3 linked regions of the Schizosaccharomyces pombe genome follow. The gene in region 1 interacts genetically with each later gene. Each region holds a gene or a part of one and is shown in the gene's direction. Other genes may lie near its edges.

Region 1 (11,236 bases):
TTGTCTGAATTTCTTGGTAATTCGGCTAACACCCTCACTTCTTTATTGCATCTTACTGTTTTAGATTTAAAAATTTTTGAATGGTTTAAGGAATACCTTTCACAATCACTCTCTGTTTCTCTTGAAAATGTTTATCCGGGAAGCATTCCAAACCTGAATTTATTATTAGGTGAAAATGTCGCTTCATATTCCTTCAAACATGGAATGGCGGATATGCTAAACTCCCTTGCTTCAACACCTTCTCCACTTCCAATTCTTTTTGACCAGTGTGTCCATACTGTAAAGCTAGAAGATAATACGGTTAACTTATCATTTGTAAATGAAACAACAGTTTCAGTCGATAAAGTGGTTATATGTATACCTATGGACAAGCTGAATACCCATTTGATTACCTTCGAGCCGCCTCTCGAAGAAAAGAAGCTAAAGGCTATTGATAGATGTCATTTTACCAATGTGAAAAAGGTTATCCTCATTTTTAAAACCCAATTCTGGGAACCAAACATAAGTATATTTGGTTCACTACCACAAGATTCAGGTAGAAACTTTATATTTAACGATTGCACTCGATTTTACGAACATCCCACATTATCAGTCTTTGTGAAGGTTGAAGGGATCGACTTTATGAAGGATGATGATATAGTGAATGGGATTGTATCTCAACTTAAAAAAGTTTATAAACCGAAATCAGAAGCCATAAATCCTATTCGAACGATTATCAGTAACTGGGAGAATAATTCTTATACAAATCACTCATCATATCAAATATCCAATTTGTTTTTGGAAGAGGATTATGCAATATTGTCTGAGCCCATTGACAATACTGTGTTTTTTGCTAGTGAAGCAATTTCCCAAAAAAATTCAGGTTCGATACGCGGCGCATTTGATTCGGGCATACTGGCTGCTAGAGATGTTTTGGCTTCGTTAATAGGCAATGTTGTTTTACCTAACACTCTCGTTATTGAGGAAAACTTGGAACAACCCCGTAAAACGTACGGCACGAAGCGAAATGCTCAACAAGCTTTAGGCAAAGAGGGAGAAAGAGAAAATAAGGAAAAGCGCATTTCATACCATACCGAGTATTTACGCTTGAGACAAAAAAGACTTGATAAAGAACAGCAAGAATGTGATTTACTAATTGCCGAATTATTGGGACCGTCTCCTGTTCCACCATCAAGGCCTAGTGCTAATCCTTACCTTTTGTACCAAAAAACTCAATGGCACGTTTGTAAAACTCTAGCAGATCAGGATAAACAAAGAGTTACTGGCGATCCTGAAGCACGTGCCACAAAAAATGAGATACGTGCAAAATTGGGAAAGACATGGCGAGCCTTGGATAGTTTAGGTAAACAACCATGGGTTGATGAAATTAACGCGAGACGAGCAAATTATTCAACTCGCCTGGAAGAGTATCAACGTCAAATTAATTCCTACAATGTGAGAGTTGCCCAAATTAAATCCGAACATCAGCGAAGATGTGAATCTCAACCAATTCCTGAAGATGAGGCTAAGTTAAAATTACTTGCTGAACAAGAGGACGAACATCTACATCCTGAAAAAGAGGGCATGTCCGTTGAAAATAGTGATGATGATTATCATGATGATTTAGATTATGAGGATTCAATAAGTGAAGTATTCCCTGACAATTTCTCATGAGCTTCATTTAAAGTTTTTTTTTAAGGGTAGTTTATATGAGATAAAGATCAATTTTTACGTTTAAGTTATAATGGTATACTAAATTTTATTTTTTCATAGAAAGGAATGACATTTATGAAATGCATATCATCTTGTAAATCCACTTGTCGAAGCTTCCTAACCACCATAAACCCAATTCTCTACGATTTGCTTGGTTATCACATATATACGAGCTCTTTAGAGAAATACTAATATGTCAAAAAAATATGGCGGTCAAATTTCGTTTGATCCACCAGCTAGGTTGGAAAAAGATCAAGTCGTCGCCAAAGTTGTGCAACTTAAAGGATCTGCGCTTTTTATGGTAGTAGAAAACAATGGACAGGAATTACTTGTTGAGATGCCTCCAAAGTATCGTAATAAAATATGGGTTAGGAGAAATGGGTTTGTAATAGTTGATAAATCTGAGTTTTTAGAGAAGGACAATAAAATTGACGGTACTATATTGTACGTGGTACAAAGCCCTTTAAAAAATTGGAAAAAACAAATTTATTGGTAAGAAATTCTCTTGAAATAACATTAGATGATTGTGCTAACTAGTTTAAAGGCCTAAAGAGTTTGCAGATGAATCGTTAAATCAAAACGATTCTGAGGAAAGCAGCAGTAGCGAGGAAGAATACGATAGTGACTAACAATTTACAAAAAATACATATATTAAGAATCCTTACAACGAACCTTGTAAATTAAACCGATGATAAAAAGCGTATAACGGGAAATGCTTGCAAGAATTACTTCATCCCACAATCGCTCATTACAATTGAGTACTTTGTTACACTTTAAACAATCCAATGAGAAATACTGATATTATTACCCTAACATTAAGATATTATACTAACCTTTTCATTGAAACTGAAATCACCATGCATTAGCTTTATAGCAATCCTCACCATAAAAAGCAATGACAATCGTGCGATCATTAAATTTACAACCTTTCATCTCTTCCATTGCGACCTCTGCAGATCTGATATCGGAGTATCGTACAAAAACCTTTCCAGTTCCTAATCCCGAGTTTCTAGTGCCAATACTACGAGGAATTTTTATATCTATAAGTGGTCCATAATTCGAAAATTGGGTCTTTACAGACTCATATATGTCTTCATATTCTTGTACATCCATAATTTCGTCCCCAGTAATTAAATTATGTAATTGTAAGACTCTAGTTGGAATAGATTGTGATGACGCCTTAGCAAGTTCTGTCAAAATGGCCATTCCATTAGACTTATCTATCATAGCTTGATTGAGACCTACACAAGCAAATTGTGCGTGTAACTTGTTCCCATACGTATCTTTACCATCAAGACCGCTGATAGCTACTTCCGCATCAGAAGGATTTTTAAATTCGCAAAAACAAAAACCCTTCGAAGATCCATCTGCAATATTTTTTATCAATTGAAAGCTTAATAAATCACCGAAAGGCTTAAGTAGCTCCACCACTTGATCTTCGCCTAAATTTAAAGGTAAATTTGAAATGTAAATTTTGTCTTTTGAATCTAAAACGTCGTTCTTGGCATAATCATCACTTCTTTTTTGAGAAACTTCGGGGGTAATTTGAGGGACGATGTAATTTTGAATTCTTTGAAATTTTAAAAAGACATCATTAGAATATGATTCGGACTGAAGCCCCCAGAGGAAGGTGGCATCTTCAGGAGTAGCGACCTCAAGAATAGCAAAGTTTTCTTCTTTACAGACGTTGACAGAGGAGAAATGCTTTGTCTCGGGTTTATGGTATGTAGTTGAAATAAATAGATCTTCGATAAATGATACAAAAGCATCTTCAACGAATTCGTTAGGAATTCCAGTAACCACTAGTCGACGAGCCTGTCTGCTAGCACCTGGTTGTAAGGGCGGAGGGGGAGCAATAATACTTCCTTCCGCAGAGCGAGCAAATTCTAGCAATTTCTCTGGATCAGTAACTGCAGCTCTAGGAGCGCCTGGCAAAGGAAAAACACCAGACATTTTCGCCTGGTCAGCAGTAACCAATTCATAACCAGGTGGTTTAATGTCCCATAAAGAGCGCTTCCTTTTCCACTGATTTATTGGTGTTACATCTCTCAATTGTTCGAGTTCCTGTTCGATAGACCTTACGCTTCTTTCTCGGCTGGGAGGTGGACTTCTACTTCTTCCGACAGATGAATAACGTAATGATCGAGGCTCATAATCATCATATCTTCTTTCTCTTCTTGGCCTCTCATCCTCTCGATAACTTCTTTCACGAGATTCTCTATGTCTACGAAAATCACTTTCGTCTCGGCGACGTCTTCTAGGTCGTTCAGAGCCATAATGGCCTCTCGGGTCTTCCCTTCCTATCCCACCCGAACCTCTTTCTCGTCTAGGTTCTTCATCGCGATAATCTCTGTGTCGCTTGGGTATCCGTGAAGAACCTGATGATAATCTGGAAGACAAATCCATGTTAGTGAATGAATATGAGGCTATTTAAAAAATTATTCAAAAAAGAAGGGAGGGAAGAAATTCGTTTATTAAAATGAACTCTTAAATTCTCCGGAAAAAACTTTGATGAAAGTAGGGAATACAAAAGTACAAATTCTAATGAAATGATATGCGCGTCAATGCTCTTGGATTCCTTGCTAAAAAAAATTTATAACATGAACAATAATAATTAACTTATTTTTTCTTTATGTGATACGCCCAAGGTTAGTCAAAAGTTTCGACTTACTAAGTTAAGGTAGTGAGAGTTTGTAGTAACTTCGCCAGCGTCGTAATTTTAAGCACAACGTTGTTGACTTACATTTTCTTTTTAGTTTCAAATAGCAACTTTCGCTAAACTTGCATTATAGACAACACTGTAACTTACGAATGCAGTTAAATTTTCAAAAGCATTTATTTAAACTGTTGTCCTTACCCTAGTACCATTCTCCTAAGTTTTAACGAATTTTTCTCTTTTGACCATAGTATTTGATTGTATGGCTTTCTTTTAAAGCAATCTTTAAAAATTTACAGCTGCCATGAAATTCAATAATTTTCGTTTTTTTTTTGCCAGTACATCCACGATAGATTTAATGTTTGTCTCATTTTATCCTTGAAATCCATGCTCTTAAATTGTATGTTCAATCTTTTAAAAATTTACTTTATTACACAAGAAGACGTTTACATTCATTCAAAATTTATTATTATTTATTTTCATACTAGCTTTCCATTGTTGTAAAAGCCGCTCTTTTTTTTAAATATTTGTTTACTTACGGCCATCATCTTGTGCACTTATTCAGTCGCGCTGCTGTGATATCTAAAAATTCATGAAACGATTCTTTAATGAAGCGTGCGACATAAACACTCCAGATAAATCTGGGGTAAACGAGAACAAGTTATGTTTCCCTCCCTTAAAAGTTGTATGTCAAGCACCAGAGACAACAGTTAAAGGACAAGTTGCCAATACTAATAAGCACAATGTATATTCTACTAAAAATTCAATGTATCTGCTGGGGTTCGAAGAAATCCTAAACACCGTCCTCGATTGTGAACCGCATATCTTTACTGATGATGAGTTGAGGGTTATTGAAAACTTTAAAGCTTTAGACTCGGATGAACGGTACTTGTTTGTTCGTCTATTCATGCGTAAAAGAAATAAATGGTTCCGCGTGGGCCATTTGACTTATCCAGATTGCAAGGATGTTATTGCCTGCTGTAAGCAGCTTGTTCTGAAAAATTTTTTTGAAGATGAATCACTCATGTCAACTGAAGAAATAATTGAAATTCTATCTCTCGATGAATTGCGTTCGTTAGCTAGACAAACGAAGGTGTGTGGAAAAAGCAGGTCTGAAATTTCAAAAGAAATCATTTTCCTATCTAAAAGACAATCAGTACTACATTGTAATGGTCAACAATTTTTGTCCTTTGATGCTTTTGGTGTGATGCATAAGCAAGAGTCGTTTCTTCGGAAGCAACTATTATATCAATGCAAATCCTGTGTGAAACCAAAGAAAATTTTAGTAGACCTATTTCATCGAATTAATATTGTGTACTTTCGTTCGTCCATTTATGATGAACAATCGCTTACGTCTTTAATATTAGCACGCCTTAACAAATTTTCCTACCCGAATTACGTTTTATCGCGAACTTCAAACGTCTTTAATTGTCGTGCTCAATGCCTTGAATACGTTGAGGTTTTAGAACTTTCAAAAAACTTGGTTCCAATCTTTGAAAACACTGCCGCTTCGGATAAGGAAGCACTCGAACAAGCGTTGAACAGTTTTTTTGAAATATATCCTATATGGTCGACATATCTAAATGAAGACATTAGGGAATTTTGGGTGGAAGAAAATAGAAAAGTAGATACTCGATTGGTAAGGTTTTCTTTTAGCTTTCGTCCTGGTGCTGTTTACACATACTTAATACATAAAAGTCTAAATATTCTCGCGAAGTCGCGATTAGTTGAGGTTGAACATGAAATATTAGATACCCTTTTATCTCAAAATATATATTTGGTGGGTAAAAGAGGACATTGGTATAATAGAAAAGCCTTACTGGAATACAACTTTAAAACTGAGGATACTAACGTTTTGCGTTATTGGAAAACGCTTGCTTTATCAACTTGTGAAAATGGTATTGAAGACAAGTATACCCACCTCAGATATTACTTTAGCTTACAAAGGAGACTTGTTCGCTTACGGAAGTGTTTAAAAGTCTCTAATACTACCGAATTAAAAAGCATGAAACTTATAAATAATAATCCTTCAAGACTTTTTCTTCATGGTGAACGAATACATAACGGTGACCTTTCAAACCGGACTGTTTGGCGTAGCAAGACTAATAATGCTATCACAGTTGAAGAGCTTGCTCTTCAACATTATCAATCGATTGGGTGGGAAGGTATACATGCTGAAAGCAGCATTTTGCTAACTTTGTTTGCTTTGACATTCTGGGATATTTTGTTTGAGGACGTTCCTGGTGTTTTTCAATCTCCGTTTCAAAGTGCACCTTTGGATTTGCACACTGATTCCTTTTATATATCTAGAGAATCGACAATCATGAAAAGACTTGAGGAAATAAGAAATGGGAAAGCTGGCCTAATTATAAAAGATAATTATATCAGAGAGCACCAAAGAAAAACATTTTGTGTAGGTCTTAATTGGTCGTATACTTGCGAAATGCTTCTTGAAATTGTCGATTGTATCAACGATAATGGACTCGCCCAAATATTTCTTGCTTTGACCCAAGATTATAAAAATAGTTCTAGCGGGATACCTGATTTATGTTTGTGGAATCCGTCTAAAAAAAAATTTATGTTTTCAGAAGTTAAAAGCGATAATGATAGGCTCTCAGAAGCGCAAAAATTCTGGATATCATTACTAATATCCAGTGAAGTTGATGTTGAAGTTTGTCATGTCTCCATGCACAAAAAAAAATAAAAAACGTGATTGTTAATCTTTTCATTAAATGCATAGCTTATGTAAATTACACTTTGCTTGCTGAATTACCATCGTTTTGCCAAGGAGAATAACTTAGTCATTTCTCATTTTAGAAATGTTGATTGATTTTGAATGGATTAAGTATATAATATGCAACTTATTGGACTGAATTCACATATTCTATTCCAGTATATAATTAAGTTTCAACCCATGTTTTCATGCTGTATACCAATTTGTTTAAAATCACATTCATAATCAAGTAGGATTTTTAATGATACATTGCTTTTTAATCAGTTTAAAGTGAAATAGAACTTACGTTTATCAATGACTTAGTTATAGCTAAAATACTAAGAAATCTGAACGTGATTATTATTGATTGGTCTCAGAATTCGCAAGCTTGACTTTCTATTCTTGGGTAACATGTTACCCAAGTAATTTAGTGTATATGTTTGCAAAACACTATGAGTCACAGGTAAAGCGAGACTCAATTTTTTGTATTAATAGCCACTTTTTGAGAATTGTGGTTTTTAATCCTAAAAATAAAACAATTAGTGGATTTTCCTCTCAATTTTATTTTGAAATTTAAACAACTCTTATTAGTAATTCAAAATGGGTGGTGGAGATCTAAATATGAAGAAAAGCTGGTAAGTGGATTTATTTGCATTAATATAATTGTTTAAAGATGTTTTACTAATATTATGATTAGGCATCCTCTGCTAATGAGGAACCAGGAAAAAGTTTGGAAAGATGAGCAAGCTCACAAAGAAGAGATGAAGCGAGTCGAGCAACTTAGGCGAGAAATTGAAGAAGAACGTCAACTATTGGAATTACATCGGCTACAAGAAGCTGCTGGTGGAAAAAAAAGAAAAGACAGAGTTGAGTGGATGTATGCAGTTCCTAACACGAATGGACCCAATCGTGACTCTTCAGAAATGGAAGAATATTTGCTTGGAAGGCGACGTCTAGATGATCTTTTAAAGGACAAGATAGAGGATCAAAATAATTCATTAGAAAAAACAGAGTTTATCGCTCTTCAAAACGCGAACTCCCTACAAGACACACAGGCAAAGTTGCGACTAGATCCTTTACTTGCAATCAAGCAACAAGAACAAAAACAACTACAAACGCTTATGGAAAAAAGGAAATACTCTTTAGACTCTGATAGAAAGTCGAAAGAACGGCGGCACCGCGATCGTCATCATCGAAGCAATCAAGACAGAAGCAGGGAAAGGTCAGATAATGAACAACATTCTTCTGACAAAAGGGAGCATTCAAGAAGAAGCTACCGTAATGACCGAAATAATTGGAGAGAACGCACACACAATGATCGCTATCGGCATCGAGATAAATATGACTCTGGTTATTTCAAGAAACATTACGATGATGATATGCGCTTTGATCAGGGTCATTTTCAAGATGAAAGAGACCTAAAAAAATATGTGCGAACAAGCAGACAATATTCTCGTTCACCATCTCCGGATTTCAGGACTCGAAATCACCAATTTCATTCTCGAGACTCGCAACCTATCACTCAAAGGCATACCGATATAGAAAGCCGTTTACAGAAAATGCAAGACAATGCTAAGGAATTAGATGAGTCACGAAGAAAAAAAATTGAACTATTGGAAAAGAAAGAAAGAGATGAAGAACAGTTTTTGGAAAAAGAGAGACGCGATACCGCAAGAAAATGGGATAACCAAGGAGATTTTATCAGAAATATGAGAAAAGAGATCTACTCTGGTGATTCTGTAAGCTTGGCAGATCGTGTGAATAGTAGCCGACATAACATGTTAAGGCCGTAACGTGATTTCTATGTTTTTTCTAATATAACTTTGATGCATAACGATATAACATTTCTGAATAATGAGTGGAAATGACGGTGGTAAACAGTTGAACATATCAGTTTAGGGTTCATTAAATAAATAGCTTAACATCCAAATGCATTGCATGATAGACGGTAATATTTTTTAATAATACATGAATTCTTAAAATTAACCATTGTTATCAACCAGAATAGTCGTGATCTTCGTTAATTACTTGTACCCGTTCAGGAACATTTTCAGCTTCGCTTTCGCGATAGGTCGGCGATCCGATTACATATCTCTCATTAAATCCATCGCATGATGTCTTTGGTTGATTCATTTTCTCATTTAATTGATTGTGTACTTTGCAAGCCCACGTAGTTGCTGCTTTTCGAGAACTTGTTTGTGGAGGATGTACATCTAGTATCTTTTGGAGTTCCACAGAGTATTCACCACATGGCATTGTAATAGCGGAAGAAAATAGATAATGTCTTAAGATATCTCGCTCATCTAATGTTGGTCTGTTTGGATAATTGGAAACAACCGTATGAATTAACTTCCAGTATGCATTTACCATTAAATTATTCGTGTTATTATCGTGCTTCGTGGACATCATCTCAATTGGTTTTCTACCTTGACCTTCTCGATCCGGAAGCGATTTAATTTCAGGCATAAACAGACGCCAATCTTTGTCTACCATAACACTGTGAAAGATCCATATAATAAACGATAAGATTAGTAGGGTAGGGAGAATCACCTGAATTCTTCTATTAAGGATCATGTTTTATAGTATTTAGCTACTTCGTTTTCCCCGTAAGAACACCTTCATCTACCAAATTAATTGTAAAGGAGAACTGCAAGGACAGAAACTCACGCGGCTTTTTTGATCTGATATGCGGCATCGCTATGTTGCAATAACGAGAAGGAATTGATGGTAAACAAAACTAACCTCCTGGGTTATACAGAGCGAGTGCATCGTTATATCTAATGCTAATTAACAGAAAAACTTTTAAAGTAGTAAGATGGAACAGGCTGCTGGATGATCCAATGCATTACCAAATTGATTTAGATAAATGTATTGCCAACCCTTTAATTTTTTTTTTAGATATTAAATATCTTTTATATCAATTCTATATGCTTTTTATTTTAAGACTCAGAAGAGTTTTAATTATAAGTATAGTTAATAGTTAATAAATATGTAGTTTAGTGATAGAGATATAACCAAATAACAACAAAAAAATTAACTAAAGTATCATTATTATAAAGTCCATTGCTAGGTTTTATCACTATAAAATTTTTTTTAAGTTTGGAATTATTTACTAAAAAAAAGAAACTTAACGTAAATAAATAAAAACTAAGAGGACTTGTTAGTTTTTGTTTAAAAAATAAATAAATAAATAAAGAAGGAAGAGTTTAGCTAAGTTATCAAGTGAGCATAGATAGCATATAATAATCTATGTTTACAGATTTAAATGTTTTAAAGATAAATTACTTGCAATTGCTTGAAGATATGAATTTGCGTTTGATTAGTTTAAATCAAAATGTAAGAATTTTGGGTTAAATTAACATATGGCAAAAGGCTTGTCAAGTTTAAAGCTAAAAAAATACAAAACAATAGTGAATTTGAAAAGTTGTTCTAAAAAACTTGGACAAATCGTTTCCTTGCATTAACATTTCATTTAAAGAGCTAATCTATTTATATTACTTACTGATTATTCTTTATTCGTGGTTATTTCACACATAGGGCTACCCAAACAAGGTAAATTTTTGCGTCGTCTTGCTAGATTTAATGAAGGAATACAGAACAAAAAATCTTTGAGCTTTATATTTATTGTGTGAATTGAAAGAGGATGTTTGCTTGTGCTAGTAAAAACTTAGAAACAGCAATGTATTCTGCTCGTCCTTTTAATATTTTGCTAGTGTAAAGTGTCAGAGCAATATTCTCTTTTACTTAATTTTCGTTTTGAGTTAACTTTCAACGTCCAAGAATACCAAATTGACTAGCATAATAATTTAATGTATAATAGACACATGAGTTTATAATTACAGGTAAAAAGATGTTTGAAGTCTTCCTTTAAATCAGGTGTGTAGGTATAAAATAAATAGATCATTTTCATCTAACATGACCTGTTTACACAATTATACTTCAGTCTTTAGTTTATAAACATGGGCTTTAGTGTAATTTAACTGTGGGTTTTTGTATATTTTATTCATTAATTGACTTCATCGTTGGGTGAAATGCTGTTCAACCGTTGTAAACAACACACCTCTTTTCACGACCACCCACTCTTTTAGAATTTTAAGTAATATATAATTTGTTGAAGATACTATCTTTATGTCTGACAAGGGCATCTTTCGAACGTCTTCAACACCCTCGATTGT
Region 2 (12,309 bases), 1.7 Mb from region 1:
CTGTTAATTGTAAGCTAATAAACTTAGTCGGTTGGCGATCCTTTATCATCCTGATAAAAACAGGGAAAACCCTGAAGCAGCTAGAGAAAAATTTCAAAAGGTAAGAATTTATTAAACAAAATTTTGTCTTTTTTACGATTGAGTGAGTTTCTCGTGAAAAAGAGAGCGACTTGCAAATATTTCCTCAACTAGTGTTGGGCGTACTAGAACTGAAATAACAAAGTATAGTTAGCAGAAGCATATCAAGTTCTCAGTGATCCAAAGTTAAGGGAGAAGTACGACAAACTTGGAAAAGTTGGTGCGGTTCCGGATGCTGGATTTGAAGATGCTTTCGAATTTTTTAAAAATCTATTTGGTGGGGATTCTTTTCGAGATTATGTTGGCGAGTTGAATTTGTTAAAGGAATTGTGTAAGATGATTAATGAAGAACCTGAATTAAAAGCTATCGAGGATACTGAGGAGTCTAAAAAGCAACTTCAGCGAGAAGAATCGAAAGAAGCCGACCGTCTATTGCAAGAAAGAATAGACGTATTATGTAAAAATCTTTTGGATAAACTTTCTATATGGACTGAAACCGATATGTCTGATAGAGTGACTGATGCTTTCAAACAGAAAATGCAATTTGAAGCAGAATTACTAAAAGATGAGTCATTTGGGAATGAAATGCTTCATGCGATTGGTTCCACATATGTGCAACGTGCGAACATACTTATCCAATCCCAATCTTTTTTGGGTATCAGAGGTGTATGGGGAAGTCTTTGTGCAAAAGGAACTTTATTGAAAGACACTTGGAATACGGTTGTTAGTGCTGTAGATGTTCAGTCCTCTGCAGCTGCGTTAGCAAAAGCAGAAGAAGGTGAAGAGCAATGGTCCAAAGAAAAAAGAGATGAAGCTGCCCGTGAACTAACTGGTAAAGTTTTATCTGCAACATGGAAAGGAACGCGTTTTGAAGTTCAAAGTGTGATAAGAACTGTGAGCGACAAGATTCTTTATGATAAAGCTGTTCCTCTTGAGAAAAGGATAAATCGCGCTAATGCCTTGCTTATGATAGGTCAGGTATTTCTGAAAGTCGCGCCAAACGAAAAGAGTGACGCTAATTATTTTGAAGACTTAATGAACGACAGAGGTAAATAGTCATTATTGGATTTACGTAATAAAGGTTAGTGATTGTTGGAAATTGGTTCATAGTCGACTACGAAGGCTTTTGATTTGGGTATGCACCTCACATTTTTCAGCAAGTATGTAATATAGTCAATGTGTTTGTACAAGTGTCATTATTCTGGTTAAAGGAAGGAAATCTCATATATAATTCTTTCAGCCTTTTACTTATAAATTTCATATACAAAGAAAAATTTTCTGCTTTTATTTTAATTCATGTTGGGTATATCAAAATTTATTTTAAGGGCCCTCCAGGTGAATTGGGGAGTCTGGCTGTTAAAACTTCACAACCAGTCTCTGTAACTAACAGTGTATGTTCGAATTGAGCAGAACAGCGTCCAGATGCAGTTGAACTAGTCCAATCATCCGGCCAGGTAATGTCTCGGGCGGGACCTAGAGTAAGCATAGGTTCGATTGTAAAAGTCATTCCTGGGCGAGCAATTCCAGGTGCCTTGTTGTGGGAATAATGAGGAATACTAGGAGAACAGTGAAATAACTGGTTGATTCCATGTCCACAATATGTGCGGACGACAGAAATCTGCTTCTCAGTAATGCTATTTGTATGCTTTTCAATAATATTTCCGAATTCCTGAAACAATACTCCCGGTTTTACCGCAGCAATTGCTTTATCCAAAGCAATTCTCGTATTTTCTACAAGGCAAACGAGGTCAGGATTTGCTTTTGCTTTATCTCCAACATAGTAAGTCTCATTTAGGTCACCATGAAAACCGTTATGGTAAAGGGAAACATCAATGTTTACAATATCACCATCCTCAAGTGGCCTTTGATCTGGAATTCCGTGACAGATGATTTCGTTCACAGAAGTACAAACACTTTTTGGGAACGCGTAATAGTTAAGGGTGCTTGGAAAACAATCACGTTCAATGCATGCATTATGAACAATACTATCAAGTTCATCGGTAGTTGTTCCAGGACGGACGGCAGCAGCGGCAGCATCAAGTACCTCTCTACCAAGTCTACATACTTTACGCATACCTTCCTGCTCCTTGGGTGTCAATCTCTTCAGTTTGAAGCTTCGACCTTCAATTTGCTCGCTACGAGAGACTCCTGTCTTCGCATAGTCAGGTCTTTTTATATGTGGAGGAACCTTGCGTATAGGCGAAAGCGGATAAACTGGTTTCAATGAACCTGCGAAATGAAATTTTGGGAAAGGATTGTAAGTTCCATCCTCTGATGAACAAATTAGAAAAACGCTTGAAAATAAAAGCTATATACTTTTGTTGTACGTACCTCTCTTTTCTACATTCGGTGGACGATGAAGATGTTTGTGAATATTCTGGATTACCTAGTGTTAATTTACGTTACACGAAATTTTCTTGTATTACCCAGCTGTTCCTGAAGCATTCCTTTTTTTTTTTGAATTAGTAAATACGTAAACTAACAGAAAAACTAAATTACCTGTCCACAAAAGTAAGATTTAACTCCGTCATTTAGACATTTGGGACATTGCAGTCTGTCAGCTTCATTATTACAATCTATACCGCAACAAATATGTTTTGCAATTTCAGTAGCCATATAAATACTTTGTCTTAAGGGTATCACTCGCCTTAGTTTCTAGACTCGAGAATTTCTAGTCACACTAGTGCTTCGTAGCCGTGAAGTACATTAATGTCGTTGGAACCTATATAACCCAATGCCACTCTTTAAAGTTATGATTTTTGCAAAACTAAAAAAATAACTTTAATATATGCTTTTCAGTTTTTAAATAAATAATTCATTTTTCTAATTTTAATATGAATTTAAATCATTAACTTATGAAAAAATATGGAAGTTTCACAATACATTCTATGATTAGCATACTGAATGGCTCCTAGAATGTATAATTTTATCTTGTTCTCTTTCGTGTATACTGCGTATGCTGGTATTTGGATCTCGCTTTTTTCTTTGCAGTAGTTCAGGTCCAACGGTATAAACCGCTGAGGAAGCGCTAACGCGAAAATCGTTGGCCTTCGAAATATCTTGCTCGTCACGTGAAAAAGGTGGTCTTGAAGCCTCAATAGGGTTGTTTGAAGATGAACGGGTTGTTGGCAGATTTTCTGGAAGCCTCGATACGGCCATATACACTGTTAAAACGATTAGAACCGTGAGTTGAAGCATTAAAAGTCGCTTTTGAAAAGATGATTCTTGATATAGTGAAGTAATTTGACTCTGAAAGTATTCATTTTCTGCAGAAAGAAGCTCAAGTTTAGCTTGGAGAGCAAACAAAGACGGCTTAACGACACTTTTCGACAATTTCGAAATTTCTAATTGAAGGGTCGAGTTCAATTCATGTAATAGCTGCGTAAAATTCATGTTTTTGGCATTGTGCTTACCATAATTTGTTAATATTTTTTCTACAATTTCATCAAATGCCTTCTTCCGTTCTTCTAAGGTAGAAAGACGCTTATTTATGTTTTTGTAAATGCTTTCCTGATTAGAAGGAAAGGTAGATATTTGAGCGGTACTGTAAGAAGATGAAGAAGATGGAGAAATATCGTTAAAAGAGCGAGTTGATGTTGCAGGATATGATTCACTTTTTCCTGTTTCATTTCCTATAACAACAGTGCTCAAAGACTTAGATATCACAGTAGAAGAAAGTAAGGTGTCTGTACTATTCAACTCGACTGATGGATTCTTTCTCACTGGTTTGCTTTGAACATCGGTATCTTCTTCGTCCACAAAAATAGGACTTTCTTGAGGCTTCCGGATTTCATCTGCTTTAATAGCGCTTCCGTCGTTCACTTTTTGTTCTAAGAAGTCTTCATTTGCTTCTTCAAATTCTTCTATCATAGTTTTTCCATAAACCCTAAGTAGGCTTACAGGACAATAAAATTCTGACCCATAATGAGTTAAAAACTCTATTTTAAGATACTTCGCCCAAATAAGAGGGTTCTCAATATGAAAAGATTGAAGAGTCCTTAGGTTTAAGGCCGTAAATGTACCCAATTCCATCCAAGAAGACTCGTATTTTGGATATTTACCGCTTACACTGACCTTGAAATCACGAAATATACTTGAAAAAAATTCGAAGTTGGCAATTTGAACTGTATCGACATAAATATCCTCACAAAGTTCAATTACCACGAACTTGTTTTCAGCGGAACATTTGTTCAGCATATATTTGTCTTTGTTTTCGGTCAGAATCGAAGAAGATCCGACTGCTTCAGGATTTGTTTTAATGACAGCAGCAGCGCAGTCAGTTGAAGCAAAGTTGAATCTTTTTTCTTCTGAGAATGCAACAGTCTTTTCATCTATATTTGAATCAATTGTAGCTGCTGCTGAAGTAGAGGAACCATCCTCAGAAATTGGTAGAGTAACCGAAGAACTAGTAATAATATTAGTATCAATAACTTCCGTTACAGAATAGTTTTGCTCTAGCTTCTTTGAGGATGAAATTGTAGACGTCTCGTTCACCAATGGTGGGCTAATTGAATCTATAAATTCGCTAGTACTTGTTCCATTGGAATATTCATATTTTGACAAAAAATTAGAAGAAATGGTATCACTTCCATTCAAACTCGTTTTTGTGTGAAACGAAGGTTCCTGGTACTTATTTGTGGGAGTGAAATCCCATGTTGTAGGGTTGCTAGCTTCTTTTTCTTCAGATTTGGTAGCAATCACAGAAAGGTACGCATCACATACCAAATTTTCGTTATGCGTATCTGGTGACTTCAAACACAATGCCGGATATTTACACCAATGACTCGTTTGTGGAGAGCAGCAGCATAACCGAAATATAATAAAATAAATTAAAAAGGCATTTCCAAATGCAGACAATCTTCTTTTGACCATATGATTTAGGCAGCCCTATCAGTTTAATGTGGTAATTGGCTCAAGTCAAGTGCCACACACTAAAGTGTTAGCATCAATCATCGCACATGCCCTTGTTTTATCGCTTTGTTGGTAAAACATGTCTTTTATAACGATTTTAATTAAAAAAGAAGAAAAAGGGTAAAGAAAAAGGCTTGCTTTAATCACATTTCTTCGTATAATAATCAAAAATAAAGTCGTCTACAACGAAACTTCTTGACATCGCATATAATATTTTGCAATGGGGGTTTCAGGTCTTTGGGATATTTTAGAACCGGTAAAAAGGCCTGTCAAGCTAGAAACACTTGTTAACAAACGGTTGGCAATTGACGCTTCAATTTGGATTTATCAATTCTTAAAGGCCGTACGTGACAAAGAAGGAAACCAGCTGAAAAGCAGTCATGTTGTAGGATTTTTTAGAAGGATATGCAAACTATTATTTTTTGGGATTAAACCTGTATTTGTTTTTGATGGAGGAGCGCCGTCATTGAAACGCCAAACTATCCAAAAAAGACAAGCCAGAAGACTCGACAGGGAGGAAAATGCCACGGTCACGGCCAATAAACTTCTGGCTTTGCAAATGAGGCATCAGGCAATGCTTTTAGAGGAAAATAATAAAAAAGCTACTGCATTGGCAAATGCCTCGGTTCAAAATGAGAGACAAATGCCTTCATCTATGACATTGGATAATTCAGAAATTAAGCCAGTACTTAATCAAAGAAAAAATTATTTGAAGCCTGATCCATACCAACTACCTGAAATGGACGTTTCGTTTGATAAGTTAGGGTCGAGTTACGACCCTCGAATTATGTCCCAGGATGAGCTTACACAATATGTCTCTAGTTTTACTAAAATTGAAGATATAAATTTATTTGATTTTTCAAATATTGATTTTGACTCTGAATTATTTCAATCATTACCCGATACGGATAAATATAGTATTTTAAGTGCAGCAAGATTACGCTCTCGTTTACGAATGGGTTTAAGCTCTGAACAACTTTCCGAGATGTTTCCTAATAGAATGGATTTCTCTCGTTTTCAAATTGAGAGACTGAAGGAACGTAACGATTTAACTCAGAGATTAATGGACTTTACTGGAATGAATGAGTTTGGACCCTCTAGAGTAGTAAGTGAAAAAAACCGAGAATATATTTTAGTAAAAAACGAAGGTGCTGAAGGTGGATGGGCTCTCGGTGTTATCTCAGGATCTACAAACAATGAACCTATTATTATTGATGATGAGGCTACAAAACTTAGCAGCAATCTTATAGACGAAGACGAGGATGAGGCATTCTACGATGTGCCTTTACCTAGCCGATCTCATAGCATGAACCCTAGAGAATTGGTAGCCGCTAAATTAAAGGAAATAAAAGAAAATTCATTTTCGGAAAATCAGCAATCAGATGAAGCAGATTATAATGTTACTGATGATTTAATACTTCAATTAGCAACCCAGCAATCTCTAGAGGAAAACAAAAAATCAAAAGAGCTGTTTAGTCTTTCGGCTTCTGAGTTTGATAAGTTGAATAGCGAGAAAAAGACGTTTGAAATTTTGTCGACCGATATTCCTGCAGAGGATTCAATGAATTCACTTCTTAACGACGAGGAAAATTTGAAACTTGAACATGTTGGAGATGTTTCCAATGATTCATTAGCATTCGCGGAAAAAAAGCATCCTGAAAATGGGACTTCAATTTTTATGGATGCCCTTCCATCTGCGAGTAGAGAGAAAAAAACCAATGATTTAATTGATCCTTTACCTTTTCAGCCTATGGATTGGGGAAAGTCTATTTTTTTCGAGAAATTAAAGAAACCAACTGAAACATTTATGGATTCTAAAACTGATATACCAAGTGAGGCACCGGATAATTCTAAACTTGTGGAAGATACAAATTTACATACTATTAATGCAACAGTTAATATTGAATCCGATTTAGACGCTGCTAAACCTGGAATTGAAAATCCAATTATTTCACCTCTTCTTCCGGTAAAAGATGATGAAAAAGATTTAGACTTACGTGAACTCAATCCTTTGGAACCCTTTGAGAATATGAAAGAACAAGCTGATGATGGCACAGTTACCAACCCATTAAATGTTTCTAGTGATAAGGCCATGTCAGTGTATTTATTGAGCTCCGAAAATGCTAAGGATACTGGGGATATCAAATCCGAATCAATTGACGCTGTTCTTCCTACTTTAGAGACCAGCAGCCCTTCACTTAGCATTCCAACTGACTTTCAAAAAGAAGCCTCTCCAAATAAAGGAGCTGCTGCCTTGAGTTCGAAAGTAGAGCCTGAAGTGGTTGAAAAACTTTTAGATGAGGAAGAAGAGGAAATGATTATCAGGATGGCAGAAGAAGAAAAGGAATATGATCGGTTTGTTTCAGAACTCAATCAACGACATGAAACTGAAGAGTGGAATCAAGAGGCCTTTGAAAAAAGGTTGAAAGAGCTCAAAAATCAAAAAAGGTCTGAAAAACGTGATGCGGATGAGGTCACTCAAGTAATGATTAAAGAATGTCAAGAACTTCTGCGTTTATTTGGCTTACCATATATCGTTGCTCCTCAAGAAGCAGAAGCCCAGTGTTCTAAACTTTTGGAGCTAAAGCTGGTTGATGGGATTGTTACTGATGACTCAGACGTGTTTCTTTTTGGTGGAACTCGGGTATATCGAAATATGTTTAATCAGAACAAATTTGTCGAACTCTATTTAATGGATGATATGAAAAGAGAATTTAATGTGAATCAAATGGATTTAATTAAGTTGGCACATCTTTTGGGAAGTGATTATACTATGGGACTTTCTAGGGTAGGTCCAGTTCTTGCACTGGAGATTTTACATGAATTTCCTGGTGACACTGGACTTTTTGAATTTAAAAAATGGTTTCAACGTTTATCAACTGGACACGCATCAAAAAATGATGTTAATACGCCAGTAAAAAAGAGAATTAACAAGTTGGTTGGAAAAATTATTTTACCATCAGAATTTCCTAATCCGTTAGTTGATGAAGCTTATCTTCATCCGGCCGTGGATGATAGCAAGCAATCGTTTCAATGGGGCATACCCGACCTTGACGAGTTACGCCAGTTTTTGATGGCTACTGTGGGTTGGTCAAAACAACGAACTAATGAAGTTTTACTTCCGGTTATACAAGACATGCATAAAAAGCAATTCGTGGGTACACAGTCCAATTTGACTCAGTTTTTTGAAGGTGGTAATACTAATGTATATGCGCCGAGAGTTGCATACCATTTTAAGAGTAAACGGCTTGAAAATGCTCTTTCATCTTTTAAAAATCAGATTAGCAATCAAAGCCCAATGAGTGAAGAAATTCAGGCAGACGCAGATGCATTTGGTGAATCTAAAGGATCAGATGAACTACAAAGCCGTATTCTTAGAAGGAAGAAAATGATGGCAAGCAAAAATTCCTCTGATTCAGATTCAGACTCTGAAGATAACTTTTTAGCAAGTTTAACTCCGAAGACGAATTCTTCTTCAATTTCTATTGAGAATCTACCTAGAAAAACCAAGCTTAGTACTAGCTTACTAAAAAAACCCAGCAAAAGAAGAAGAAAATAAGTTTAATAAATTATTTATTTATTTGTTTACTTAACTGGTTGTTCCTATAAAAGAAGTTACTGTAATTTTTTGTTGAGTAAATTTTTTTGAGTTTTCCTGCTGTAACTGTGTTTAGACAAAGTAATTGAGCAACATAGCTTATATTTTGTGATTTATTCGTGTTTTGATTATTTACAATTTTTCTTGCTCTTTGTTACCTTACCTAATGTCACTTTCTACTACAACCTACTTAGCAGCAGTAAAGTAAAAACGGAGAAACAGAATATTTTTCGAAATGTTAAGTACAAAAATTGATGCGGAAAATGCGGAAAATGCCGCCGAGGTAAGCCTTGGTTATTATTTATTTAATAATACTTACAGATTTTAGATTGAAATGCAGGTACGTGGTTGTAGAAAGTATTTAGTTTTGGTAAAGCATGTACTGATTTAAAAAATTTTAGTTTGCAGTAAAAGCTGTTGAACAGGCTCGTAAGTTGAGCAAAATATGATGGAATAAAAAATAACAATTTAGAAATATACTGGAGTCTTTTGGAAATGCGCAAGGGAAGCGAGTTAAAGCTGACAAAGTAAGTATATATTTACATCTTTAATTTAAAGTTCAAATTGCTTACTATTGAATAGATACGATGATGAGATTTTTGAAGATTTAATAAACACCTTCCCCGAGTTTAAAGACCCTAAAACAGCTTCTTTTGTTAATGAGGATGAAATGAAGTCCGCCAAAGGAAAAGCTGCCTGGCGTCCATTTTTAATGCGCTATGAAAAGAAGGTTGACGATTACAATTTTGGTACTCTTCTTCGTATTAAGAATACTGATGAGTATGAGCAAGAAACGACTATTTTTGGTATGTACTAGGAATCAAATTTAATGGTCTAAGAAACATGGCCATTTTTTAAGTGCCATTTTTTTAAAAAAAATCGTTTATGCGATCCATGAATTTCCATATTTTAATGTTCTATTTTATTTAGCTAACAAGTCTTAGTCCCTCGTATGCAATTTTTGGCCTACGAAATCGCCCGTAATAGATACGGTTTGAACGATTGGATTAAAAAAGATTAGACCTTGTTAATAAATATTACAACTCATCCAAATTTTTCTGAAGGAAGTATTTGTACAAATGATTGCTCCGTAGTTAGATAACATATACATTGGTTTTTCCTAATGTACAATTACAATTCAGAATAAAATCAAAACAAGTGGATGAAGGTCATATTTCCTTCTCTTATAAACGTATATCAAACAAAATTCATAGTGCTTGAGTAAGAAAATGTTATTTTTTCTAAAGTTACTAATTGAGAATTGTGACAAGTAAACAACAAAACCAAAGAGACCAGATTTCCTATGCTAATCAGAGTGATGTTTACAATTAAATCCGTCCTGATTATTCGACGTTTTTTTTTTTTCTAACAAAGTGACTCACAACTTGTTTAGATTTCTAGATATTGTGTAAGGAAATAATTTTTGCTAAAAGTAAACACTTTAAAGAAATGATACTAATAATATGAAGGACTGCAAACTTTATATTTGAGTATAATAATTCTTATAATTATATGAGAACAAAGTGCATAGATTTACTTCAGTGCAAACACAGATATAAAATTGTGTCGAGCTTTATGTTTCTAACTTCTAATAGCGAATCTTTAACCCATTGAGCATTTCAATTATGTAGCACTATTTCATACGTAAGGGCTGCATACTTATTAACTATTTTTTTTCAGAAATCTCAACTTGAATTTTACTAATTCATGTATTTACAGTTAGCAAGATGCTTCTTTTTTTTCGTAATCATTTGAGATGTAAGACGCCGGTTAAGAATTTGTGGGATAAACAAAAGAAATTACGAGGACCACTTACTTAGTCTATAAGTTGATTTTGCCGACCATAGTAAAGGTAACTGCATAAAATTATTGGTATTTAATTCTACCTTACAGAATCTCGAGAATTACTATATACTTAAAAAGAATTTCATGTACTTTTTCTGCAAAATAATTACAAAATATTGATGAATTTATTACTGGTCAATAAACCACGAATCAGTATACCCACTAAAAGCAAAATTTCGGTTCGCTTGTAAAAATAACAAAAAAAAAATATTATTATTAATAATAACAATGAGTTTCGAAAGTTCAGAATTCATTTGAACGAAACAATTGCGTATTTAAATTTCACAATTAAGCAAAATACTTGAAGTTATCAACAAAGGGTCCATTCTGCGTTTCAGGTGCATTTCATATTCTTTGACTTTTTATGAAGCAAATGCGAAGTTACACAGAAGCAACTATTTTTCAAGCAAGTTTGTTTGAGCTCACACCTAATTTGAATATATAGATTAGATATAATTTGTTCATCTTGTAATTTTACTTATAGATCAGAATGCTTTGTTAAGAATATAATCATCTATTTGATTACAGATCCATTCAATGAGCAAATTAACTAAACATATGTATTTCAAAATTCAAACCCATATAAGTTAATAGTTTCAGTTAGTAAACCAAGTGATTTTATGCGACTGAAAAGGATTTCCGATAAATAAAAATTGGTAAACGCATTCATTTATTTCACCAATCTCGGCATCCTTTGCAAGTTAAGATATGCATTACAAATTTTTGATGTTTTTATTTTACAGTAGTTGGTTATCTATGAGACGTACACATCTCAAAGAATGACAATCACTTGCATATTTTTTTACTTGGAGGAGCTACATATTAAAATTTTCGAAGAGCCAATTTTTTTATATTTGACCGAGCCTTCAATGGCGCTAATAACCGACTTGAAAACGCAAGTTGGTATAATACTATAGATTTATGACGAGACTTCGGGAGCGTATCCGAGCACACTGTCCCGTATCTAACCGGACTTTGTTTACCGAAATGATAAGATAATAGATGTTAGCGAGAAGTATACAAATTTAAGTAAGGGAGGCAGTCATAACATTTACTAACAAATGCACTACCACTGAAGTTCTTTCATTTTGTACGATTTAGGATTCGCATATATTCATAAATTTCAGATTTTGTCGTCTCGAAACACTCCTTACTTATTCATGTGCATTCATCCAATTGTAGCTAATTAATCGAATGTCGAACCCAAGAACCAAATCTCCTAATACAAACAGAGGTCAAGGATTACGTTCAGAGCGCTCAGCTCTCTTGAATGACTCTCTGTCTTCATTAAATGGAAACTCATCATATGACTCTATCAAAGATTCTTCCAAAAACAACAAGGATGTTGCTGAAGTGAACGAGTACCCTCGTAGGCCAGAATCTTCAGTGTCTGTAGTTAGCAATTCGCCTCATCGCCAGGATGCAGCGACGACTAATACTGTGTCTACAGTTTCTGTTTCCAAAGTTCTTCCGGCGTTATTGTTGGGTGTTGTTTTGGCTGCTTTAGACAATACCATTGTCGCCTCTACGTATACGAAAATTGGTGCCGAATTTGGAAAGTTTAGTCAAGTTTCATGGACCGCTACAGCATACATGATATCTTGCACTGCGTTCCAACCATTGTTCGGAAAATTTTGCGATATCTATGGGAGGAAAAAGACTCTTCTGGCGGCTTACTGTGTATTTGGAATAGGCTGCTTCCTTTGTGGTACTTCTCGCTCTTTATGGCAGCTAGTAGCAGCTCGAGCTATTGCTGGAATTGGTGGAGGAGGCATGAATTCGACTGTAAGCATTTTAATGAGCGATATCGTGCCTTTAAAACAAAGAGGAACTTACCAAGGAATTATAAATGTATTTTTTGCTATCGGTTCAAGCCT
Region 3 (5,320 bases), on another chromosome or scaffold:
CACAGTTTCGAGAAGCATTAGCTTTGCATTATACAAATGAAAAAGAGCTATTTGAGCAAGCGAAGAGATGTTTAAATATTTGTTGCGGCAGCAACAACTTTGCAAAACGGAACGACGTTTTGTTTTCTTTACTTGATGTTGCAGTTAGCATTTCGTCTCTTGAGTTACGGAAAGAGTTAATATCTGAATTATATGTTCCAGTACAGTCGTTAGAGGAGGCACCTTCAGAATATTTGGTTTCCTGTTGTTTACAATTAGCCACTATTTATGAAGCTGAGCAAAATTTTGAGCTTTTATGTTCTTCATTGGAAGCTGTCGAAAAACATGGTCATTTTGAAAACGACCTAGAGCAACTCTTGTTATTAAGAATTCGTTTAGGAGATGCTTATTTAAAGTTAGGAAAAGCTGAAAAAGCAATTTTAACCGTAAGGACAAGTATACCATTGGCATTTAAAGTTAGTAATGATCAATTGCTAATGGAACTTCAACTTTGCAATGCTCGCGCTCTCGATGAAACAGGACAATTCCTAGAAGCTGCGAAATGTTACTATCGGGTACTTCAATATAAAGTACCTGGAAATGAACTAATTTATAGAGAGAACTTGTGTTCAGTAGCTCAATGTTTACTTCTAGCGATTCCTTCTCCTATTGTTTTGCAGTTCCTCCAAGAAATCTCTCTCCAACCATCCGTCCGAGAAATCCCGTTTTATTCTCTAGTCGAAAAGTACCTTAAAAGAAAGTTTATCGGAAAAGAGGACGGAGCCTTTCTGTTGCCTTTTCTACTTCCTCACCAAGTAATTCATATGAATAGATTGATAGAGGATGGTCGACATTTTTTGGAAACGAATATCCTTTTTCTTTCAGAGTTTTTTGAAGTTTCTTCTACATCTATACTTGCAAAACACTTTAAACTTTCTGAGGAACAGGTTGATACAGTTGTTGCTGATATGGTGATACAAGAACGATTGAATGCTTCAATCGATCAATGTGAAGGATACATTACTTTTTTGCCAGAGTATGGAAAAGCAAACAATCTTCCTAATTATGTTAATAAAATTGCAACCGTTCTTCAACATTACGGTTCTTAGACCAAATGTGAAAAAAAAAACTGTTTTATAGTTCATCTATTTTATTCATTTAAAATAATATTTATTGTATAATGTCATAGAAATATTGACGTTCTTATTTGTATCTTTTTCACCTCGTGGTCGCTAATGTTTGTTTACATTATAAGTAACTTCCCTCTCTGCCTGTTCTTATATTATTTACATGTGCTTGTAACTCCAATTCGCAGTACCAATTGGTAATGGAGCAATTTGAGATAATCAGAGAATCGGATGCTGATCCTTACTACTTTAATAAAAATCTTCGACTAGAAGAATGCGAAATTGACGGGTTTACATCAATTTATAAAGCTCCACCTCCATATTCTTTTGTCGCTGGTCTAAGTAAAAATACTTCTTCTAACAGTTTTGTAATCCACAAATGTCTTCCACCTTTGCAAAGGAACAATACAATTAGAAAAAGAAAGCGAAATCCTTTTCTAGCTGACAGACCTTATTGTATCAACAGTGAGGACATGCCTTTAAGTGATGACCGAGATATGTTAAAGGAACGACACGTCAAATCGCGAAAACTTTTATTAAAGGAAAAAGGAAATCGTTTTTACCGTAGAAGTTGATTTTTATAATTATTACCACCTGTTTCTAACTGTTTGTCTTAAAACTCCTTCGCATGTTGATGATTTGTTTTAAGGAGCTTGAGCGAAGACTACTTTATGCTTGCCAAGAGGGTTTTTTTTAAGTGTTTTGCCTTGAACTGTGCAATTGCAAGGCTTTTCAGTAACAGGCCTTATTGCCATTGTAGGCCATTAAGAAAGTAAAAGGAAAAAAAATTAAAATCATTAAGGAACGCTAAGCTGCAGTGAAAGTATATTTCTCACTAGCTTCTCCAAATCGAAGTTTTTTGTAAATAAAACGCATTTTCGTGAATAATCGATGCTTTTTTTTTAAGGTGTTTTTTTCTTTTTTTTTCATTACTTCAATTTTCAGTTATTACCCTTCCTTAGGTATACTTCTTTTTTTTACATTTTAGACCAGATCCTGACCGACCAATTTTGGATCATCCAGCGTCACATAATAATTCATCCATAACACTTTTTAATACTTTGAAATTTATAGTTAGAGGTAAAGTTTCTAAATCTGTTTCCTTTGTTTTTTCGTTTTGATCTTTCAAAGGCATACCTAATATTCTACGACTTCTCATACACATTGTACATTAGAAAAAGTCGCTCTTGACGTCTACTCGCCGTTTCCTTAACTTCAAGACTTCTTTTAAGCGATTCTTGCGGATTTATCGTGTCTTTCCTCGAATAATAGCTTTCATTATTAAGCTAAACGAAACTTTACAACTTTTGAAATAACTTCCTTTAAAAGAATTCAATCACTTACTGTTGTTGCTTATACACCAAAAAACAAAAAACTAATAATTTTGCCTTTGTTTACGTTCACTGAAATGAGTAAACGAAAGTCATCGTCTATTTTAGATTTTTTTAAAAAATCTAATAATGGCAAAAACATGTGGGGTAATGAAGCTGTTTCTGTTGAAAAAACTGATTCCACCACCAAGCCCTCTACAGTAAAAAATGCAATTTCAAGTTCCCAAATAAAAAATGAGAAATTCTCACAGGAAGTCTTATTACAATTCAATGATCCAAGTTTCACTTCTGAAGTGGGTGAGTCTCCTCAATGGCAATCTTTTGGGGATGCTAACATCTTAGAACCTTTAAAAAATGAGCTGGTTAAAAACGAGGAGTCAACCATGTCTGAATTGCTTCTTTGTCCAATATGTGGAATAACTTTGGAGTCTTTAACTGTCGATGCCAATATACATGTCAATGACTGCCTAGACGGGAGAACAACGGAAGCTGTTTCAAAAAAGCTGAAGAAAGACTCTGTCGTTAAAGCCGATCCTTCGAATTCGAGTACATTCCCAATATCTGATTCCTGTAAACAGGCGTTATTACCTTTACCTGGAAAGCAAATTAATGTTCGGTCTGTTGTTCCTTTCTATAAATTAATGCCTTATAATATTCCTTTTGCCGTTGACGCATTTGCTTACGGTGCCATTGATGGTGTTGAAGCTTATTTTTTGTCACACTTTCATTCTGATCACTATGGCGGTTTAACTCCAAAATGGAAGCACGGTCCTATTTACTGTTCAGAAGTAACAGGAAATCTTTTAATAAATGTCATGCATGTTGATGAACAATATGTGAAGCGTCTCAAACTAAATCAACCATATAATATAATGGGTATTACTGTATATGTTTTGGATGCTAATCATTGTCCAGGATCAGCTATGTTTGTTTTTGAAACGCTTCAGAGTAATCAAACAAGACGTGTTCTTCACTGTGGAGATTTCCGCGCTTCTAAGGATCACGTTATGCATCCTGTTTTACGAGAGAAGACCATTCATAAAGTTTATTTGGACACTACATACTTGAATCCTAAATATACTTTTCCACCCCAAGCGGATGTTGTTCAAGCTTGCGCCGACAAAGCAATATCTATCAAGAAGTCAACAGATTCTAGGCTTTTGGTAGTAGTTAGCACTTATAGCATCGGGAAAGAAAAAGTAGCCGTTGCTATTGCAAAATCTCTTTCTTCACGGATTTATGTGGTTCCTCGAAAAATGCATATTATTAAACAACTTGAAAATCAAGATTTAATAGATTTATTAACGGATGATCCTACGCAAGCTTCCGTACATATGGTCACTATGATGGGAATACATCCGAATTCGCTTCTTGACTATTTGGAACAATACAATAGTTCCTTTGATAAGATCATAGGGTACAAAGTTACTGGCTGGACATTTCAACCCTTGGAAAATCGTGCACAACTTAGCAGTAGCTTAGACTCGATAATTTCCAGACCACCGAAATTTGTGGAATACGATTTAAGAGCGATTAGAGGAAGCACCGACAAAGTGGCAGCTTTTGTAGCCCCTTACAGTGAACACTCGAGCTTTTATGATTTAACTATGTTTTGTCTGTCGATGAACATTGGACATATTATCCCAACTGTAAATGTGGGTAGTCAACGGTCTCGTGAAAAGATGAATGTATGGCTAGATCGTTGGGCTTGGCGCCGAAAGAAACAAGGCCTACTTTCATTGGAAAATGTGGATTGGTAAACCAAAATCTACCACAATAATTTTCCTTTCTGTTTCTTTTAGGGTTATACGAGCTTGTCTGTAGCTATTATTTATGGTTCTTATAATTAATGTTAATGTGAGCAAAATGTTTTTGTATGTATGCTTTACTATGCCAATCCTTTATCCTTCTATATTTTATTTTTTTTTTTAGTTTCAGGAGTGCTAATACAAGATTATACAAAAAAATGACACCAAAGTGTAGGTGTATATTCATTTAAATCAAACTATGAGCTTGCAAATAATCCAAAACTTTTAAACTTTCTTTGAGCTTCGTTTTTTTATGATCGAATACTTAACATTAGTTCATTTAGGCTAATTTTCTATTTTTTTTAATTATAATAATAGAGCAATCTACAACGAATTGTCATCAAATAAACACCTTTCATTATAAAACACATCATCAATTTTTTTTCTAATTTTTTTGTAATAGCATTCGCCATTGATGAACGATGAACCTTAGTATAAAAAATTCTCATAAAACATTGCCCCGAGAGTTGAAACATCATAGGCGAAGGAGCTCAAGATTCAAATTTCCACTACAGAGAAACAACGAAAATAATTTAATGGAAAAAAAATCAAGCTACTCATAAATAACCAAAAAAAAATTCCAACAGTCCAGCAAAGGGTGTTAAGAGAGAAGAAAAATAAAATAAAATAAAAAAATATATAACAAAATTATAAAAAGTAATAACAAAAAGACAGTAAAAAATGATTGAAATATGAAATATTGTTGGGATTTATGGAAGCCTAGTCAACAAAAGACTGACTAAAACAAAGTTATTGTAGTTGAATACAGATAAAGATATGAAATTATCAATAAATAATTTCTTCCCAATGAATCTATAGGTAATTAATACCCGTAATTAACAGATTTAGCAAGTCATAAAATTCTCCCACTCCAAAAGGTGGCATAAAATAAACTAGGATCCAAAATAAATAGCAACATAACTTTGATAATAGCAGTATAGAAATTTGATATCCAATATAACTCAAAGATGGAAAGCATGAATGCCTATCAGTCCAGAGTATATATGAATTATGCGATGAGTCTTGATGTTGTTCGTTTCAAACAAAACAAAATATCGAAAAAAAATAGTTAAAA

The links.
Region 2: mutations in fan1 (region 1) and rad13 impair growth when combined (synthetic growth defect), as found in Schizosaccharomyces pombe (one study listed by BioGRID).
Region 3: mutations in fan1 (region 1) and pso2 impair growth when combined (synthetic growth defect), as found in Schizosaccharomyces pombe (2 studies listed by BioGRID).

What each region holds. Positions count from the first base shown.
Region 1 is NC_003423.3:1,006,417-1,017,652, reverse strand, and holds fan1 (fanconi-associated nuclease 1), read left to right. Parts: upstream 1-4,547; 5' UTR 4,548-4,940; coding exon 4,941-7,052; 3' UTR 7,053-7,305; downstream 7,306-11,236. Other genes in the region: lsd1 (histone demethylase SWIRM1), read left to right, coding at 1-1,653; tif1102 (translation initiation factor eIF1A-like), read left to right, coding at 1,886-2,184, 2,237-2,321; prp2 (U2 small nuclear RNA auxiliary factor small subunit, U2AF-59), read right to left, coding at 2,545-4,098; protein Cwf25, read left to right, coding at 7,662-7,696, 7,759-8,854; erv2 (sulfhydryl oxidase), read right to left, coding at 9,057-9,635; cut3 (condensin complex SMC subunit Smc4), read left to right, coding at 11,190-11,236.
Region 2 is NC_003423.3:2,669,258-2,681,566, reverse strand, and holds rad13 (DNA repair nuclease Rad13), read left to right. Parts: upstream 1-4,997; 5' UTR 4,998-5,209; coding exon 5,210-8,548; 3' UTR 8,549-8,577; downstream 8,578-12,309. Other genes in the region: SPOM_SPBC3E7.11C (DNAJ domain-containing protein type Caj1/Djp1), read left to right, coding at 28-100, 229-1,134; methionine aminopeptidase Fma1, read right to left, coding at 1,394-2,349, 2,410-2,455, 2,505-2,525, 2,578-2,694; SPOM_SPBC3E7.09 (Sad1-UNC-like protein), read right to left, coding at 2,971-4,950; SPOM_SPBC3E7.07C (uncharacterized protein), read left to right, coding at 8,823-8,870, 8,916-8,927, 8,989-9,016, 9,060-9,114, 9,170-9,393, 9,532-9,608; vacuolar amino acid transmembrane transporter Fnx2, read left to right, coding at 11,627-12,309. UniProt on the Schizosaccharomyces pombe protein: Single-stranded DNA endonuclease involved in excision repair of DNA damaged with UV light, bulky adducts, or cross-linking agents. Essential for the incision step of excision-repair.
Region 3 is NC_003424.3:1,155,987-1,161,306, reverse strand, and holds pso2 (DNA 5' exonuclease), read left to right. Parts: upstream 1-1,824; 5' UTR 1,825-2,514; coding exon 2,515-4,197; 3' UTR 4,198-4,820; downstream 4,821-5,320. Other genes in the region: COP9/signalosome complex subunit Csn4, read left to right, coding at 1-1,088; protein mug103, read left to right, coding at 1,307-1,681. UniProt on the Schizosaccharomyces pombe protein: Required for DNA interstrand cross-link repair. This requires cleavage of cross-linked DNA to generate DNA double strand breaks (DSBs).